2 linked regions of the Callithrix jacchus genome follow. The protein of the gene in region 1 purifies or fractionates together with the protein of each later gene. This does not show direct contact. Links are inferred from orthologs where the notes say so. Each region holds a gene or a part of one and is shown on either strand. Other genes may lie near its edges.

The links.
Region 2: the proteins of LIN37 (region 1) and TFDP1 purify together in Homo sapiens (co-immunoprecipitation; 3 studies listed by BioGRID and IntAct, with this or other methods). This does not show direct contact. The link is inferred for Callithrix jacchus from reciprocal best matches to the Homo sapiens genes LIN37 and TFDP1.

The regions. Positions count from the first base shown.
Region 1 is NC_133523.1:31,931,723-31,941,345, forward strand, and holds LIN37 (protein lin-37 homolog), read left to right. Parts: upstream 1-1,620; 5' UTR 1,621-1,791; coding exon 1,792-1,825; intron 1,826-1,932; exon of another isoform or gene 1,933-2,020; coding exon of another isoform or gene 2,021-2,050; intron 2,051-4,572; coding exon 4,573-4,648; intron 4,649-4,828; coding exon 4,829-4,879; intron 4,880-5,198; coding exon 5,199-5,228; intron 5,229-5,309; coding exon 5,310-5,395; intron 5,396-5,480; coding exon 5,481-5,647; intron 5,648-6,394; coding exon 6,395-6,535; intron 6,536-6,621; coding exon 6,622-6,695; intron 6,696-6,768; coding exon 6,769-6,850; 3' UTR 6,851-6,893; downstream 6,894-9,623. Other genes in the region: HSPB6 (heat shock protein beta-6), read right to left, coding at 7,885-8,052, 8,140-8,262, 9,189-9,386.
Region 2 is NC_133502.1:29,102,182-29,111,704, forward strand, and holds part of TFDP1 (transcription factor Dp-1), read left to right. Parts: intron 1-766; coding exon 767-888; intron 889-1,994; coding exon 1,995-2,160; intron 2,161-2,636; coding exon 2,637-2,780; intron 2,781-3,258; coding exon 3,259-3,327; intron 3,328-4,647; coding exon 4,648-4,799; intron 4,800-5,194; coding exon 5,195-5,361; intron 5,362-6,487; coding exon 6,488-6,566; intron 6,567-8,744; coding exon 8,745-8,892; 3' UTR 8,893-9,523. UniProt on the Homo sapiens protein: Can stimulate E2F-dependent transcription.

The sequences.
Region 1 (9,623 bases):
AAAGTGCTGGGATTACAGGTGTGAGCCCCCACGCCCAGTTTAGTGTTTCCATTTCTAGGGGCTGTTATCCTGTACTGGTAGTCGTGAATTCAAAAGCATAACTTTCCTACTCTGGGCTTCAGTATTCTTATCAAAAGTGTAGATCAGGAATCTACCTCCTAGGATTTATCTGGGCCAAGACGTGTGATAAATAGAAGTTTCCCATTTTCTGAAGGAAGTGTTGTCTGTAAAAATAAAAGTAGTCAAGAGCTTTCACATGGAATCCTTCCTTGGCCATCCATCTTTTTTTGTTGTTGGTTTGTTTTTTTGAGGCGGAATCTCACTGTGTTGACCAGGCTGGAGTGCAGTGGTGAGATCTCACCTCACTGCAGCCTCCACCTCCCGGATTCAAGTAATCCTCCTGCCTCAGCCTCCCGAGTAACTGGGATTACAGGCATGCGCCACCATGCCCCGCTACTTGGCCATCCATCTAATTCAAAATTCAATCACCACCTTGATATTGTTACATCCCTTTCAGGCTATGCTGTTTTGTGTGTATGGGGGGTGGGGTCGCTAGGGTTTTTTTTTTTTTTTTTTTTTTTATGAGATGGGGTTTCACCATGTTGGCCAGGCTGGTCTCAAACTCCTGACCTCAAGGTGATCCACCCACCTTGGCCTCCCAAAGTGCTGGGATTACAGGCTTGAGCCACCACACCCAGCCTGTTTGTTTTTGTTTTTCTAGATGGAGACTTGCTCTGTCGCCTAGGCTGGAGTGCAGAGGCGCGATCTAGGCTCAAGGCAACCTTCATCTCCCCGGTTCAAGCAATTCTTTTGCCTCAACCTCCCGGGTAGCTGGGATTACAGGAGCGTGCCACCACACCCGGCTAATTTTTGCATTTTTAGTAGAGACGGGTTTCACCATGTTGGCCAGGCTGGTCTCGAACTCCTGGTTGCAGGTGATCTGCCAGCCTCGGCCTCCCAAAGTGATTTACAGGCGTGAGCCACCGTGCCCTGCCCAACCTATATTCTTTCTCCTATTACATTTCACTTAAAATATTTTACTTGTTTACCGTTTCTCTTCCATACTTTAAAAGATAAGCTCCAGTACGGCAGGGATTTTTGTCTGTTCTGTTCCTCGAGGTGTCTCCAATGCATAGAAGAGTGCCCGGAACACAAATATTTGCAAAATGAATGAAGTTGTACCTGCAAGGAGACTAGCAGTTACCTGGCACCTAGGGAGTGCTCAGTGAGAGGGAACCCAACGTTATTTTACATTAGTCTTCCTCTTAGGAATGGAGAGACGCCAACGGTTGGTTAAATCCTTGGTTAAATCCGGTATGGAACTAAATCGGTGTAGCCGAAATCTTCTAACACTACAAATCCCAGAAAGCCTCGCGATGCCTTAATCCTTTCTTTCCCACCGTGCCCCGCGCGGCGCAGGCGCTGTTACTCGGGGTGAATCTCGGGAGCTGAAACTACACCTCCCAGGAAGCTGGGCGGTCGATGGTTTGTTTCCGGCAGCAAAGCCCCAGGAAGGTGGGATCTAAAGCTGGTGGCCTACGGAGGAAGCTCTTAATTGGTCAGGATATGAGACTGACGGCTGCATTAACTAATAGAAAAGAGATACTGCCGAAGGGGCCCGTCCACAGAAGGGAGCAGGCCACGATACAAGCAGTACACGACCGAAGGCGGAGGACCCGTCGCCCATGAAGCTAATCTTTGAACTGTCTCCGCCCGCCTCCCGCCTTGATTTGTGATCCTAGGCCCTTTGGGGCTCGTCTGACCCAGCTAGCCAGATCCCGGACCCAAACCATGTTCCCCGTGAAGGTGAAAGTGGAGAAATCAGGTGAGGACCCCAATTTCGGGGGCCTGTCGGGAGCATCGGGTTGACAGTGTGGGAGTCCCGTAGAAGGGAGTATTGAGGAAATGGGACTACGCGACTTCTCCCTGCAGCCACCTGACAATCGCTGTATCAGGCAGCGAGCGTTGCCTACCACCCTCATCCCCGCTGGGTCTGTGCTTGAAGTCGCCTTGAGATTGAATGATGGTGGCTCAGGCAGTGCGGTGCGTGGTAAGACCTGGGGAATCCTGAGCCGGTAACTCTGAGAAGGGCCCTTTCTTTCCTCTTTTTTATTTAACATTTTAAAATATTTAAGTAGAGATGAAGGATCGCCATGTTTCCCAGGCTGGTCTCTAACACTGGCCTCAAGCGATCCTCCCGTCTCAGCCTCCCAAAGTGTTGGGATTACAGGCGTGAGCCTCCGCGCTCGGCCGAAAAATCCGCTTTTCTTGGCTCCCCCTCGGTTTCCCCATTTCCAGCAGTGGTCAGAGTCACACATTTTGCTGTGCGTCTGAAGTATAGGCACTGTTCATCCTCACAGTCACTATATTCCAGTAATCCTAGGAAGTAGGAATTGTGGTCGATGTGGAAACTGAAGCTCAGAAAGAGGTCATTTTGGGTTGGGCCAGAGCTGACGGGATCCCAGGCCTGGCATGGTGAGAGCAGTGGGAGGGGTACAGAATTTAGACACAAAGGTAATAATAGTACAATGATGTAGGATGTCAGATAGCAAAAGTGTTATCAAAACAAAGTGGGAGGCCGGGTGCTATGGCTTGTGCCTGTAATCCCATCACTTTGGGAGCCCAAGGCCTGGAGATCACTTGAGGTTAGGAGTTTGAGACCAGCCTGGCCAACATAGCAAAATGCTGTCTCTATTAAAAAAAAAAAAGAAAAAGGATTTCAACATGAATTTTTTAAAAAAAAGAGCAAAAAAAAAAAAAAAATGCCAGGTGTGGTGGCATGAGCCTGTAGTCTCAGCTACTCAGGAGGCTGAGGCAGGAGGATCGCTGGAGCCAGGGAGGCGCAGGTTGTAGTGGACTGAGATCACACCATTGCACTCCCCCAGTGAACTGAGATCACGCCATGGCACTCCAGCCTGGGTAACAGAGTGAGACCCTGTCTCAAAAAAAAAAGAAAGAAAAGTGAAGGGAGTCTGACTACAAATGATGGTGAGGGAAGGTATACACCTGTGAGTACCAGTCTGAGAAGTGCAGACTCCACCCGTGGGTGCTATGGAGTTATGGAAGTTTCCAAGCAGGGGAGGATCAGGGTCAGGTTTGTTATTTTTCAGGAAGATTCCCCTGGCCACCTGTGAAGGGTGGATCAGAAGGGAAACTGAGGCAGGGAGCCCAGGGGGAGCAAAGGACAGGACCAGGATGTGTAGAATAGGGAGGAGGTGGGTGGGAGAGACACTGGGGAGGCCGAGTGGACAGGCCATGAGGTTGCTGGGCTGAGGTAGGGGAGGGAGAGGGGTATCCATGGTGAGGTACAGGGAGGGACTTGGGGACAGTGAGGCCACCCTTGAGACAGAGGCTTCAGGCCCAGGTCGGGGGTTCAGGAGAGAAGCTGGGCCTGGGGAGAGTTGTAGGGGTGATCTCTACCCTCTGCATCCACCCAAGGCTTTGCTACAATCTCAGTTGCCCCCTTCCCCACCCTCATGCTGTTTCTCCTCTGAGTTATGTCTGAATGCCCTGTGTCTGAATCCCTGGGCATCTCAAGAAGTCCCAGGACTGGCCAGGCAATTTCCCAGGTGTCCCCTCCAGGTTCTGAGCACTAGAGCCAGAGCTCCCACCAGTAAGAAGGGCAGAGCAAATACCCCTCAAAGGTAGAAGATTGTAACATCATCACTTCCTCAAGTTCTGTGATGACAGGAGGTAGCCACAGGCTGACAGGGCAGGAAGGTGGGCCTAGATCTCATTTCCTGAGTGGGGAAAGAAAAGCCCAAACAGGATGTTTTAGGTGAAATCTCCCAATTTTTAAATGTCAGCTCATTCAGATTTAATTCAGATTTAAAATTATACCACTGTTTGGCCAGGCATGGTGGCTCACACCTGTAATCCCAGCACTTTGGGAGGCAGAGACAGGCGGATCACAAGGTCAGGAGTTGGAGACCAGCCTGATCAACATCGTGAGATTCCATCTCTTTGCAATTGTTTTTGTTATAAATTTATATTACATTAAAACAAAAAAAATTTTTTTTTAGACCGAGTTTTGCTCTTATTGCCTAGGCTGGAGTGCAATGGCGTGATCTTGGCTCACCGCAACCTCCGCCTCCTGGCTTCAACCAATTCTCCTGCCTCAGCCTCCCGAGTAGCTGGAATTACAGGCATATGCCAACACGCCCAGCTAATTTTGTATTTTTAGTAGAGATGAGGTTTTTCCATTTTGGTCAGGCTGGTCTCGAACTGCTGACCTCAAGGTGATTCACCCACCTCATCCTTCCAAAGTGCTGGGATTACAGGCATAAGCCACCATGCCCAGCCCTAAAACAAATTTTTTTAAAACCCAAGGCTCCTAAGCTAAGGTGATTGGCCTTACCTCCTATCACAGAGTGATCATGTGTGACAGCTCTGGAACTAAGAGCTCTTGGCATCACTCCAGCCATCTCTGTCTGCTGCACCCTTTCAGGCTGCCTGGGCCTGGCTCTGAGATTGGCTGGGGCAGAGGACACTCATGCCTTTCCCTGGCCCAGTCAGCTGCCCACCTAGCTGGGGCCTAGGAGCTGACTCCTGCTGGGTCCCCTCTTGCCTCAGAGCTGGAGATGGCCAAAGCCCGGAACCAACTGGACGCCGTCCTGCAGTGTCTGCTGGAGAAGAGTCACATGGACAGGTGGGCCAGCGTGGGGTCAAGGCCCAGGCACCCTGGCAGGTCGGCCCTCTGATCCTGGGTGGATTGGGTGGGACCCCAGAGGCTGACTTGGGGAGGAAGGTATCTAATGGAGAGGCCGCTCAGTGCCTTCCTTCTCTGGGGCCCTGGAACCCTAGGCTGAGAGATCTTTTCTGCCTCTAGGGAGCGTCTGGATGAGGAAGCTGGGAAAACCCCCTCAGACACCCACAATAAGTGAGTTTTTCTGACTGGATGTGGAGCTGAGAGTTTGTAGTTGGTAACTTTTTCCCTTACCCAAGCCCTGACCACTCTGCCCAGTGCTTCCTCCATCTCGGTCCTGACCAGTTCACCTGTATGAAGACCCTGCGTCAGGAGAAGCTTAGGTCCCCTCGTGGTTGCCACCTAGACCCCCATGGGTATGGGTGGAATAAAAGGCCCAAGGGGCAGGTGGGGTTCATGTGCATATCTCAGGTTTGATACCAGCGTCCCCAGGGTGCCCTCTGCAGGGTTTTGCACAGGCATTTGTCTGAGGGTCAACTTTCTTTCCCCACAGGGACTGCTCCATTGCATCCACTGGCAAAAGGTAAGGTGACAGGGTCCCAACCAGCTGACCAGAGGCTCCCAGCCCCTACCCCAGTCCTGACACTCCCCCCTCCCTACGCAGGCCTTCTGCCCGCTTCCCCCACCAGCGGAGGAAGAAGAGGAGGGAAATGGATGACGGGCTGGCTGAGGGAGGGCCACAGCGATCCAGTGAGTCGACTGGCCCGAGAGGGTAGGCAAGGAGCTGAGGGGCTATGCAAGGATGCTCACACACCTCCCATCCCCACCCTCCCAGACACGTATGTGATCAAGCTGTTCGATCGGAGTGTGGACTTGGCCCAGTTCAGTGAGAACACGCCGCTCTACCCGATCTGCCGTGCCTGGATGCGAAACAGCCCTTCTGTGCGCGAGCGTGAATGCTCTCCCAGCTCACCCCTGCCCCCGTTGCCTGAGGATGAGGAGGTGGGATGGGTGGTGGGCCCCAGCCCAGCAGCCTGATGCCAGGGCAATGGGTGGATAGGCACAAAGGATCCTCCCCGTAACCTAGTGGGGTAGATGGACACAGGTCCCTCACATGAATGCTGGATCAGGCCAGGCATACAGATGTGCACCCTTAGCCTGGGGTGTGGATGGAGGTCCCTAGGGAAGACATACGTAGCCACCTGGCCTGGGGGACAGGGAACAGGGTTGCCCTGGGTAGTTAGATATGAATCTCCAAGGTCAGGCGTTCCCAAGAGCCGAGGGTCTAGACGGGTCCTTAGTACCGACCTGTGGCCACCAGGCCTTGGGGAGCAGATGGGCTGGGCAGGAATGGATGGGGGTCTGTAAGCCATCTAGCCCAGGAGGGTAGACAAGGGTCCCGAGGACAGACATATTAGGGCCCTTCACACTGTCAAGAGTGGACAGAACTTCCTAGATGGCACAGATGTGACCCCCTAGGCAGGATTCCCTGAGGCAGGCAGACGTGACTCCCTGGGCTGACAGGTGTAGATGGGATCTCTGGGCTGGATAGGAGAAGACAGGGGTCCCCGGGCAGGCAGACCTGACTCCCTGGTTAGTTGAGGTGTCTGCCCTTCAGACATGCCTCCTGTCTGAGTCACTTAGTGTGCCCCTCATGCTGTTTGTTGCTGGGAAAGGAGGGATGAGTGTGGATTCCCAGCCCTCTGGTCTGACTCTCTTGGGCCTGGCTTGGGGCCCTTGTGTCCCCAGGGTTCAGAGGTCACCAACAGCAAGAATCGTGATGTGTACAAGCTGCCACCACCCACACCACCCGGGCCACCTGGAGATGCCTGTAGATCCCGCATCCCATCTCCGCTGCAGCCCGAGATGCAGGGCACCCCTGATGACGAGGTAAGTGCACCAGGCTGGCTCGAGGTTGTGGGGCACATGTGGTGGGGCTCAGACCTGACCACTCAGCCCTGCCTCTGTCCATGCAGCCCTCCGAGCCTGAGCCCTCACCCTCCACACTCATCTATCGCAACATGCAGCGTTGGAAACGCATCCGCCAGAGGTGAGCGTCCCCCAGCCTGCTTGCGCCTCCTCGGGCCTCTTGCAACTGCTGAGTCTTCCCTCTGCCTCCCCAGGTGGAAGGAGGCCTCTCATCGGAACCAGCTTCGTTACTCAGAAAGCATGAAGATCCTACGGGAGATGTATGAGCGACAGTGACTTTCCCAGCTCCCCCCACCCCAGTAAACATCTCCCAACTCCACACTGGTGTCTGTTCCAGTTCATCCTTCCTGGCCCAGACACAAAGCAGTTGGCAGAGCTCCAGCAAATTTATTGGGACAGTGAGCCTGGGAAAGTGACAGAGTCGTGGCAGGGAGAAAGGCTATGGGGAATCAGAGGGGGTGCTCGGTTGGGTCTTGAAGGAGAAGAGGTGGATGGGAGGTGGGTTGCCAAGGAGATTTCGTGTTGGAGACTTGGGGATCAAGACAAAGGGATGGGGTGGGGGGTCTAGTCAGAGTTGGGGAGGGGGCCTAGGACATCCATGCAGAGTCTGGGAAGGTTGGGGCAGGAGAGTCTGTACAATTTGGGATTGGATGTTCTGGTTGGCCTGGAATAGGTGTCCAAGAGTTGGGGCGGTCAGAAAAGAGTTCCAGAGCCTGGTGTGGCTGGCTGGAGTTTTATGGCAGAAAATGGGCTGGAGGGGCCAGTTGTGGATTGTCTGGTTGCAAGGGAAGGTTTGGGTCTTGGGAACCAGGCCCGGATGATCTGGAGCGGGAGGTCTGTGCAGTGTGGAACATTTGTGGCGTGGAGGCATTGTGCCTGACTGTCCTGGGGTTGGGGGAGGGCTGTCTACACCATAATTTGGTGTCAAAGTAGGGAAGGGATGGAAATATGGTACCCGGATATCTTTGTAGAATACTCAGAAGGAAGTAGAACCGTGGGGCTATATGCCAAGAAAGTGGGTCGGTGGGGCTGAGACTGTCGGCCGAGGGTTAGGGGAGTGCTGGTAGGGTCTGGAAGCCAGGGAGGTGTTGGTGTGAAGTCTGAAAGCTGGAGGAGGTGTGACAGTGAGGGTGTCAGAGGAAGGGGCTAGGTTATCAAGGCAGTGTCTAGGGTGGAGGTCAGGGCAGAATCCAGGAGTGGCTGAGAGGACAGTTCTGGGCGCGATCAGGACATCTGGCTGGGCGGAGTCAGATCAGCTTTAAAAGACGGAGCCTGAGGAGGCTCCCGGGGTGCGGGCGTGGCCCCGCCCCCTACTTGGCGGCGGCCGGTGGCGGTAGTGGGGCCTGGGCCGACGCTGGTGCGGCCTGGATGGACAGGACGCCCTCGGGGGACAGCGCGGACGTCACGGCAGCGGGATCCACGCCAGGAGGCAGGCGGTAGCGGCGGTGGAACTCCCGCGAGACGAATCCGTGCTCATCCTGGAGGGGAAGGAGGCTTGAGCGGCCCCGCCCCTCCGGCCCGGCGGCGCGCGTGCCCGCTCTAGCCCCGCCCCCGCCGCGGCTCACCGGGCGCTCCTCGTGGCGCGCGTGCACCTCCACGTGTTCGCCCACCACCTTGACAGCGATTTCCTCCGGCGAGAAGTGCTTCACGTCTAGCAGCACCGAGAAATGTCCGGGGTCTGTCGGCACCTGCGCGCAGTGAGCGCGGGTGGGACTGTCATCGGGCCATGCCAGGCTCGCGGGACCCACCCAGGGAAACCCCACCCCATCGGTTCCGTGCTGCAGCTCACTCTGGCCTCCCGAGCTCAGCAATCTGCTCTCCTACTGGGAATCACCCAGGACCTCTTCACCCCGAATAACGGGGATTAGCCCTCCTCCTGTAATATCTGGGATTGCGCTCTCCCCCGCAGTGATGAGGCTCCCTTCCCCTGCAAGGTCAGGAACCTCCGCCCTCCCCGGTGTCAGGGAATCCTCCGAAGTCACCACCATGCACCCCAGGGCACTGATTCCCCGGCTCCCTCTTCAGAGCCCCGGGTCCCTTCTCCCCCAGCCCCGACAAACTCGCCAAGATGCCCCTTCCCCCGTCTCCAGAATCCTCTGCCTACTTTCCCACTCCGGTCAAGGGACCTCGGCAGCGACTGGTAGCCTTCCCCCACTTCAGAGTGGCCAGGACCCCTTGCTCAAGTCTCAGGCCTTTCCCTTCCTGTTTTGGAGACATGGAGCCACTGCATGAAGTCTCCCAACTCTTCCCCGAGACTAGGAACATTCCTTCCCCTCGGGCAACCTTTAACGCCTCCTTTTACCCAGATTTCCCGGGTCACCAGCCTCCTTCAGATTCAGCAAAACTCCCCTTAGAGCGACCCAGGCCTTCCACTCCCTGGAGAGCTAATGAGACTCCCCAGTCCCCCGACACACACACACCCAAGAGCGACTGGGACCTCCCACTCGATGCAGTGAGCGGGCCTCTGAGATTCCCAGGAACTCCGGAAGCCCCTCGGAGCTGCCGGACTCTCCACCCCGCCAAGGCCAACGAACATTCTGTCACACGCCCCCCACCCCAGGCTGACCCAGACCCCCCGGCATTGCTTGAGTTCGCCCCTCCCCAGGCCTGGCACCTGGGCAACCGGCAGCGCCACGCTGGGTGCGCGCAGGTAGTAGGGGGCGAGCGTGGTGGGGCAGAGCGCAGCCAGTTCGGCCTCCAGCAGCCCCTCGCCGAAGCGCTGGTCAAAGAGGCGTCCGGGCGCCGAAAGTCCGGGCAGTGGGGCCGAGGCGCGGCGCAGCCAAGACGGCTGCACAGGCACCGGGATCTCCATCCTGCTCCTCGCGTTGCAGTGCCCCTGCGTGCGCAGCCGCCGATTTATAGTGAGCCCTGTGCCGGCCCCTCGAAGGGCTGCCCAGGGACACTGGGACCGTGGCCAGACTCAGCCATTAGGAGAGCCTTATTTAGAAACCCAAACAATGACTTCGCCATTTATTAAGTGCCTGCTGAATGCCTGGCAAAGGCGGTTAAGAAGGTGTCACGAAGATTCCCCAATTTCCAGAGGCGAAAC
Region 2 (9,523 bases), on another chromosome or scaffold:
CAGCGTCCACACTGGCGTTGCCTCTGGTTCCCCCCAGAGGGGCCCAGGTGTGTGAGCCCCATGGGCGCATGGACTCCCTCGCCTCCTGCTCTCAGTGCTGGTCACCCTCCCTTCTTGCCTCATGCTGTTGTGGGTGTGGGCTCCCCCTGACAGGGCTCCAGGGCGCAGGGTTACCAGGTAACCCTGGCTACCTGGTCGTGACCATACGATGGTTTTCACCATGTGGCTGTCACCCTGCTGGCTGGGGGAGCAGCTGCTGTCACTTTGTCTGTGCTTTTGTCTTTTGAGAGCAGTTTTTGGTTTCAGGCCTCTTTTTAGTACCGTGGAAGGGTACAGTTTCATCCTCATCCATATCATTAAAAAGAAGTAAAAGAGGGTGAAGGGAAAAATAGAAACGTGCCGAGGGGCCCTGTATGGAAATCTGATCCGCCCCCTTGTTCACCTCCACCGTTAGCCCTTTGTGTGTGGTTTGGGGGTCACGCTCTGCCCTGTCCTGTTCTTGGCTTGCTTGGGTCATCCAAAGTTACTTGTTGCTTGTGTCTAATTGGAGAAGATGCCTGTGGCTGATGAGAGGAAGGTGAGCCATGTTCAGAACAGGCGTGGTGGTGCCGTCACTGTGTAGGATGCGCCCACCCCCGGGCGTCTTTCCTGCTCACTGCGGTTAATGGAATTCAGCAGTGGCTGCGGATGGCGAGCAGATGGTGGGCGTGGCACCCTCGCCGTGTGGGAGGGGACTGACTGACTGAATTGTCTTTTTTGACTGTAGGTAATTGGTACGCCTCAGAGACCAGCAGCATCAAACACCCTCGTGGTAGGAAGCCCACACACCCCCAGCACTCACTTTGCCTCTCAGAACCAGCCTTCCGACTCCTCACCTTGGTCTGCCGGGTGAGCACTTCCCTCTGGACCCTTAGAGTTGTAGGATTGCTTGCGGTTCGCAGCTCCACGTTCTCCTGGGCCACGCGTGTCACATAGTTGTGCGATGGGGCTCCCACGCGCATTGATGTCAGCCTCCGAATCATACCCACCCATCATCCTGCCCTGCACAGGTGTGCGGCCAAGGCGCACTGCCTTGGTCATAGAGAAGTCAGGCTGGGCACCGCCCACCCCACTTGGTGTCTGGTATAGTGAGTGGGTGCTCTTTGAGGGGCTGGCAGCTCTTGACCAAGACAGGTAGAAGCTGGCCTTGTTCTCGCTGCAGGACTTGAGACTTTTCCTCGTCTGCGCTGGGAGCACATGGGACGGATTTCAGCCTCTGACTCTGAATTCAGCCTCTACGGCCCCGGGAGTTATGGCCCCCGCGGGTGGTCCCACCAGAGCTGCTCCTTCCACTAAAGCAAAATCTGACGAGCTCTGTCTTTCCTTAAAACACACAACACACACACACACACACACACACACACACAAACACACGCGGCTACAAAAGTATGCCTGTCTCAGCGCCTAAAGCTTCACCAGTTAGGAACCAAACCTTGAGAGGCCTTTCCTTCGATGTGGGGACTGACCAGAGTGTACGCAGTTGGGTTGTCCCCTGACCTGAAGCACACTTAGTAGTTTGCACCTGTTGTCAGGCGGCCATCACAGCTGTATGAGATTATAGCCTGCTGAAATTTGTCCTAAAAATTCCCCAATTTACACCGAGACGTCCCATCGTTCCTGTTGCCAGTTGCCCTCTTTAGAAAAGTGGTGCTTGGTGTACTGACATGCCTCCCACACACTGATTCAGGCCCTGGGAACGCCTCCTGTTTTTCCCGACACTTCGAAGGATGGAGGTGCAGCCTGCCGGGGAGACACTCACCTTCTGACCTGCAGAAGCACTGGGCCTGGGGGCTCGGCTGGGGGTCCTGGCCTGCTCACGTGTTGGATCTGCTGCACCTGTGGGACGTGGCCCCCTTTTGTGCAGCTCATTGGAGCTCTCAGGTACAAGCATTCCTCGATTCTGCTGATGCTCAAGAGTGCTGACGGTCGCTTCTTTTTTCCTTTGTATTTTGAAGGAAGCGCAACAGGAAAGGAGAGAAGAATGGCAAGGGCCTGCGGCATTTCTCCATGAAGGTCTGCGAGAAGGTGCAGAGGAAAGGGACCACATCCTACAACGAAGTGGCGGACGAGCTGGTTGCAGAGTTCAGCGCTGCTGACAACCACATCTTACCAAACGAGTCAGTAAGTGTGTGCTGGGGGCTCGAGAGGCTGAGTAGCCGAACCCGACAGTGTGGCATGTTTCACCCTTTTAAAATTGGGAACAGTTAAAAACATGCAGAAAATTCCAAGTACAACATGAAAGAATTTTTCCCACCCCATTTGCTGGCAGGATGCTGTGTCATCTCCAGTGAGTGAGCAGGTGGGCTGATTCTGCTCTTCCACCAGCTTCCCCTGCCCAGAAATGCAGTAACGCCTTCCTCACCCGCTGGGTTCCACCCTCGACAGACCCCAGCTCCCGTCCTGGCACACACTCGGGCTTCGCACAGCCCTGTCTCGGCCTGCATCATCTGTAGGGTGGGAGCACTCCCCGAGGACATGTTGCGGTGACAGCTCCATGAGCGGGGTGCCCCTTTGAGCCAGTGCACATGGCCTACAGTTTCAGGTGGGATCCACAGGCTCTTTTGGATCATTTGGAAACCACTCCCTGTCATCCCCAGGCTTATGACCAGAAGAACATAAGACGGCGCGTCTACGATGCCTTAAACGTGCTGATGGCTATGAACATCATCTCCAAGGAGAAGAAGGAGATCAAGTGGATTGGTCTGCCCACCAACTCGGCTCAGGAATGTCAGAACTTAGAGGTGCCCTTCAGCCTTCATTTCCCTTCTGGTCTGTGTAGATGTTTTTGTCATTGGTCACTCAGTCGGGTCTGGGCTCCGTGTGCTTGTGCTCTTTGTGTCTGGCTGGCAGACGGTCATGTAGACAGATGTCTCCCTGCGTTTCTCAGTCTCGGCTGTTGGGAGGGAGCGTGGCTGGCCCAGGCCCACTAGAGTGTGTTAAACTCGACTGTAGGTTAATTCTGAATCCTTGTTTGGAGGATTTTTTTTTTCCTTTTAGATAACATAGTTAAATCCAAGAAATGAGAGGGGAGAAGGTATAGTTTACAATCAAAGAAAAACTCACCTGTATCTCGTAGCACCTGCTATGTCTAGATTTGTCCATATCCCTTCGATTAAATTCAAGGTAAACATAGGTAACACTGCGAGGATATGGGTTTTATTTTAAACGCTGTAGGGAACAATTGTGATGATTCTCTGCTTGGGTGGTTTGTTTTTGAAGGTGGAAAGACAGAGGAGACTTGAAAGAATAAAACAGAAACAGTCTCAACTTCAAGAACTTATTCTACAGGTAAGAGAATACTTTGGAGGTGGGTAATTTTTATTTTACTCACTTAGTTTTATAACAGCAGTGTACCAGCTTGGGTTACACTCCTGTGTGGTAAATCAAATGACTGCTTTAAGATTCTGAATGTAAATTTCATGAACATCCTTGAGTTCATCTCATGGGTGTGGCAACGTGGGCCTGGTTCCCAGAGCGAGGTTGTGCATATGCATGCGTCTGTGCCTGTGTCTGCCTGCGTGTGTGCCTGTGTACATGTGCCTGTACGTGTGTGTGCATATGTGCATGTATGCATGTGTGTATATGTGCGTATCCCGTGTCACAGTGTCTAAACAGGCAAAACACAGTTGGAGGGATGACTTCATGCAAAAGCAACATTTGGAAAATCCCCTCAGAGGTGCTTAACCCAAGGCCCAGGCCCAGGCGAGGCCTCCAAAACTGTGGTGGGCACTGCGCACCTGGGTCTTGACAGTGCTGGTCAGGGCTCTGGAGCTGGCCTCCCCTACCTCCCATTGATTGCTGAGGGTAGGGGGTACCCCTGGGGGCTCCGTGTCTGGCGTGGAGGGGGTTGGATGCAAGGTGCTCGTTGTAGAGCTGGCTGCTGCCCTAACAGAGGTATGCTTAAGCCCTCCCAGAGGGGACGGTGTGGCGGCCGTGGTGATGGAGGCTCGTGGGTGGGAGCTCCTTGGGGGCTGTGGGGACTGTCAGGAGGGACGGTTCTGCCTGCCAGTGTCCTAGTGCCTGCCAAGCGGGGTGAGATCCAAGGTGGCCGGGAGTGGAAGGGATTCTCCTGGCTCTACATTAAAGCAGGGAAGCTCTTTCCAAGTGGAACACTTGGTTTGGGGCCCTGACGGCCTGGCCCTAGGTTCAGCCTTGCAGGGCCCATTCTCCCCGAGAAGCACCTCTGCAGCACACGGGCCCTTTCGTGTTCCACCTTCCGGAGTGGGCAAAGTCCTCAGCACAGCACCCCTTCCAAGGCTGTCACCCCATTGGTGCCACTGTGTGGGTGGTCTCAGAGTTCACGGACAGCAGGGAATCGACTTCCAAGACTGGTGTTCAGTTGAGCACCCTTGTCACAGAGGATGCTTTTATCCCAGGCACAGATGGCTGTGCACCTGCTCTCGCTCAGTTCTCCCCTCAGGATGCCATTTCCTGACTGCATTTCTCCAGGGGTTGCAGGGGTCAGCACCTAGCGGCCGGTGCTGGCCTTTCAAATGTCCAAGGCAACTCATCGCTGTTGTGTGGGCACAGGGAGGGCTGTGAGGACCCCTTGAGCACAGGGTCTGCGTTCTTGTGCCGCCATGTGCCACCTGGCTCCTCTTTATTTAGCAAATTGCCTTCAAGAACCTGGTGCAGAGAAACCGGCATGCAGAGCAGCAGGCCAGCCGGCCGCCGCCACCCAACTCGGTCATCCACCTGCCCTTCATCATCGTCAACACCAGCAAGAAGACTGTCATTGACTGTAGCATCTCCAACGACAAGTAGGTTGTGGGTAGGCAGACGTTTCCAGACTGTGCGTGTCTTTTTGAGGGAGCTGACCCTGTTGGGATTGTCCCTAGGACAAGTTTAAATGTTGCACAAATTGCTGGGGTAGCTGTCCATCATGGGGTGGCGGGAGGCAGCTGCCGGGCAGCTGGTGGAAAGTCTGTGTCCCAGGAGCGCGTGCCTTAGGGCGTGTCCTCCTGGAGAGAATGGGCCTTGATTTGCTTCTTATCTCATTTACTTCTGAGTTTATAAATTCTGTGAGGAGATGCCGAGGACTGGGATCCTGAAGGCTGTGTGTGGCGGGCAGCAGGTCAGCTGTCCTGGCTCTACCCCAGCATGCACTGCCTCTGCGGGGAGACCCTGTCTTTCTGACTGTGCCTTTCCCCTTCAGATTCGAATATCTGTTTAATTTTGATAACACATTTGAAATCCACGATGACATAGAAGTGCTAAAGCGGATGGGCATGGCGTGCGGGCTGGAGTCCGGGAGCTGCTCTGCCGAAGACCTTAAAATGGCCAGAAGTCTGGTCCCAAAGGCTCTGGAGCCATACGTGACAGGTCAGCGGTTCCCAGATAACCCGATGTGGCTAACCAGATAACTCCATTCCTAGATAACCCGGTGTGAGGAATGGGCCCAGCCTTGGATAGCTCCCTCCCCTCCTGGCTCGGGGTGTGTCTTGCCGAGATTGGGCCCAAGTACGGAGGGCCAGGAGCAATGACAGAGGGGCTGTGAGGGGCATGGGTGTGGGGTTGCGGCTGGGGCGGGGTCCAGCCAATGCCCTCACTTGCTGGATACAGGGCCTTGAGTCTGCAGGAGGCTTATGTGGATTTCCCATATGGCTTGTGTGAGGAGGTGCTAAGTCAGGATTTTACCCTTCAAGTAGGCCCAGAAATAGGAGAAGCTGAGATTCTTTGAGGAGTGCAGTTGGATTGCTGATCCTCCCTCCCCCCACTGACAGTAGCTGATTGGTCACTAGGGCAAAGTGACCAAGAAAAAGCATTTCAGCATCATTGGCAGCCTGCTCTGGAGGGCCGGGAGCACAGGAGCTTTTGTTGAAGGGACTTTTTTCTGATTCTGGTGAATTCTTTCCGTGGGGCCGTAGGGTCCCAGCCTAGATAGGGTGGCTTTAAGGTGAGAAATTGTGAAGGTGCTGTATCTGCCAATCCTTTTCTTGTCAGCCTAAACTTTGGGTGTGGACTTACTCCCTGAGAGGGTCAGAGATTCCTCCCTGAGCTCCTAAACCATCCCAGATCTTGTGAAAATCTGGCTGGTCCATATCATCAGCTGAGAGTGGGGTCTGGCTGCCCATGTGGGCTGGGCCCTGACCCGCCCTCTGTCGTGTGCTTCATGGAGCTGCCAGGATGGGCTGTAGGAAGAGGGTTTCAGCTTGTTCCTTGATCATTCTCTTTCATGATGGGTATGATACTGACACAGCAGCACACATGTGCTGTTTGTAAGTCAGTGTGTGCAGGTATTGCAAGGCTGTTCATGCCTTTTTAGGGAAGACAGGCTATGTGACTGCACAGCGGGATGTCCTCTGTGGCACAGTGCAGAAAATCCTGGACAAGTGAAGGATGTCTGGAAGCTTCCCCAGCTGTCCATCCTGCGGCACTGCGGGTTGTCTGTGTGTCTTGTGTTGTTTCTGTTTCGTGACCATTTGCTTCATTTTCTTTCCTTTTTCAGAAATGGCTCAGGGAACTGTTGGAGGTGTGTTCATCACGACAGCAGGTTCCACATCTAACGGCACGAGGTTCTCCGCCAGGTGACAGCGGTTGAGGGTGTGGGAGAAGCATTGTCTGGGCCTCCTGTGGGGCCCAGGGGCCAAGGCAGGGTGGACGTCTCAGATGTGGCCATCAGGTCTGAGGCTGCTCCGACGTGCTTGTCTTCCCAGGCAGTGGCCCCACCGGCTTTCCCTGTGTGGAGAGCTGCTTTTCCTAGTTGGTTTCTCCTCACTAAAAACTAAAAGTAATACGTGGTGGTTGTTTTTTTTTTTGTTAAAGTATCACCTAAAAAGTAAGTAGGAATGAAAACCACCCAAATCCTTCTGTCCCGGGCAGCCCAAATAACAGCAAGTATTTCTAGTTTTTTTCTCCTATTTTTCAGAACACGTCTGCGGTCACAGTGCATTTGTATTTCAGAACGCATTTGTAGTCATGGCGCATGTATTTTTCAGAACGCATCTGTAATCACAGCACACATATTTTTCAGAACGCATCTGCAGTTACAGTCCACGTATTTTTCAGAGCAGTCACAGTGCACATATTTTTCAGAATGCATCTGTGGTCACAGCGCACGTATTTTCCGAACATGTTTGTGGTCACAGTGCATGTATTTTTCAGAATACGTTTGTGGTCACAGTGCACTTTCTTTTCAGAACACATCTGTGGTCAGAACGCACATGTTTTCTTCCATGCATTTTCACCTTACATTTTATTGTATTTATATATATTATTTCTGTGCTATTAAAGGGCCTTTATTTAAATAAATTCGTATTTAATCTTTGACCTGCCATCCCATAGGGTAGAATGATGTCCCTAGGTATTTATCTTGGTGCTTCAAAGAGAAATATAGCTTTTACAACAGATATTAACAAAACAAAGATTTTATTGACTTTTATATTGCATTGTGATACAATATGTAGTATTACTTTATATTAATCCTAAGTGTTCATAAAATCTTTAATTGGAAATCTAAGAACTTAGTAACCTGTGGGTCCAGATAACAGGGCACGACGTAGTGAGTTGCAGTGCGCATGAGCCTGTGTTGGAATGTGCTGTGGCCGTGAGATGTGACAAGTGTGTCAGGGGTGCATGTAGCTTCCTGGCCAGCTCTGGGGTTACAAAGCCAGTCTCTTCCAGTCTTGGCCTCACCTGTAAGGTGAGACTGGTGATGAGTCGTTGATCTGTGGCAAGGATCAGTGAAGTGGTGATAGAAGAAGGGACTTGTCACAGTGCCTGGTAACAAGGTTTTGACCGAGGCCGGTTCTCTTTCTCTTCAGCTGTGTGTGAATGTGTAGGGGTCAGTCTGTAAACATGTTTAACACTGGTTCTTCCATGAGGTGAAATGTGGGTGTTTTTAGGACTTTCATCATCAGATAATCCTTTTCATGGATGTGATTCTCAGACTTGTCAGTTTTTCATAACAATGGAAACAAAGCTACTACCATTTCTTATGAAATACCAATTTTCAAAGTGGCATGATGGGACATTTTATGAAAGTACCTCATGAAAGGACATCTAGGCAGTTCCCAGTTATCAGGAAAACTACAGTGAGCAGCTTTGCGGCTGAATTTCTCACCATTTCTGACGTGTTTCTAAGATACAGAATCACTTCATCAAAGGCATATTGACTCATTTTCATTGTAGTTAATAAATACTATTAAAATATATTAAAATATATGCATATATTTTTATGCAGTTGGAAAACATTTTTAAATCTTGGAACATTGTGAGCTGTGATTAGTGGTAGGTTTTTGTGGTGCTGCAAACCCTCTGGGTTCCCAGTCCATGCTGCTAGATTCTAGCCGTGCTCTGGACTACATCCTGTCCTGCCCCAGGCTCTCTTTTTTTCCTGTTGCTGGTTATGAGTGAAAGTCCTGGAGGGAGGGATCTAACAGTTTTTCAGTTCATTGCCTCTGGGCACTGCTCCTGATGGAATGATGAGTGAGGGAGAGGGAGCTTGTGGCTCTGCTCAGCCTCCTATTTCTGGCATTGTGGATTCCAGGAGACAGGGTCCGAGGAGAACCAGACGGGGATGGAGTGAGTGCCAGAGTGCTGGCGTGCTGTAGTGCAGACACTCATGACCTCCCAGTTCTGTGTGTGTGACTGACAAAACTGACACCTGTTCGGCGCAGCCTGTCCTTCAGCCGCAGGCCCTGAGGTGAGGGGAGGCCGAGTGGACTGCTCTGCACTGACTGCCTCATCCGCCTCCTGCCTTGCAGTGACCTGACCAACGGTGCAGATGGGATGCTGGCCACAAGCTCCAACGGGTCTCAGTACAGTGGCTCCAGGGTGGAGACCCCAGTGTCCTACGTCGGGGAGGATGACGAGGATGACGATGACTTCAATGAGAATGACGAGGATGACTGACGTCCTCCCCACTTCAAATTCAGCTTCAGGAAAACGTTTAGGGAAAAGAAACTTTTTTTTTTAATGTGGGTTTTCTGTTTCCTTTTGGCCTACTCCCAAGAAGATATTGGTAAGCTATTGAATTTAGATATGCACCTCTGATAAGCAAGGGTTGTTTACCGTAGGATTAGGACGTGCTGTGGATGTGTGTTTTGATACCAGTGTGCTGATGCAGAGCGTTTATTTACTTTTTAGGATTTTGTGTTTTCATTTTTCTGGTTTTCTCTAAGTGCAGAGTTCAGTTTCGCCCCTGAACAGTTTTTGCTGAGTCTGCTGAAGAAATTATATTTCATCCACATCCATGAAAATAAAACACCCTCCTGTGGTGGATGGTGAGCACCTGGTGCCATTTATTTGCCGTGAGTCTGGACGGCACCCCCGCTGGTGGATAGCAGGACTCTGTGGATTGTTCCATTTGGTCAGTGGTACTGTGTCCAGAGCCCCAAGCAAACAGCAGAATTCGACTTTCTAAACAATAAACTTCATCAACCTTATTGACTTTATTTTCCCTTAAATTATATTGACTGTTGTGATTCCATCAAGCTTATCAACTCTTTTCTCTCCCTATTTGCAGCAACAAATTGCAAAGTGC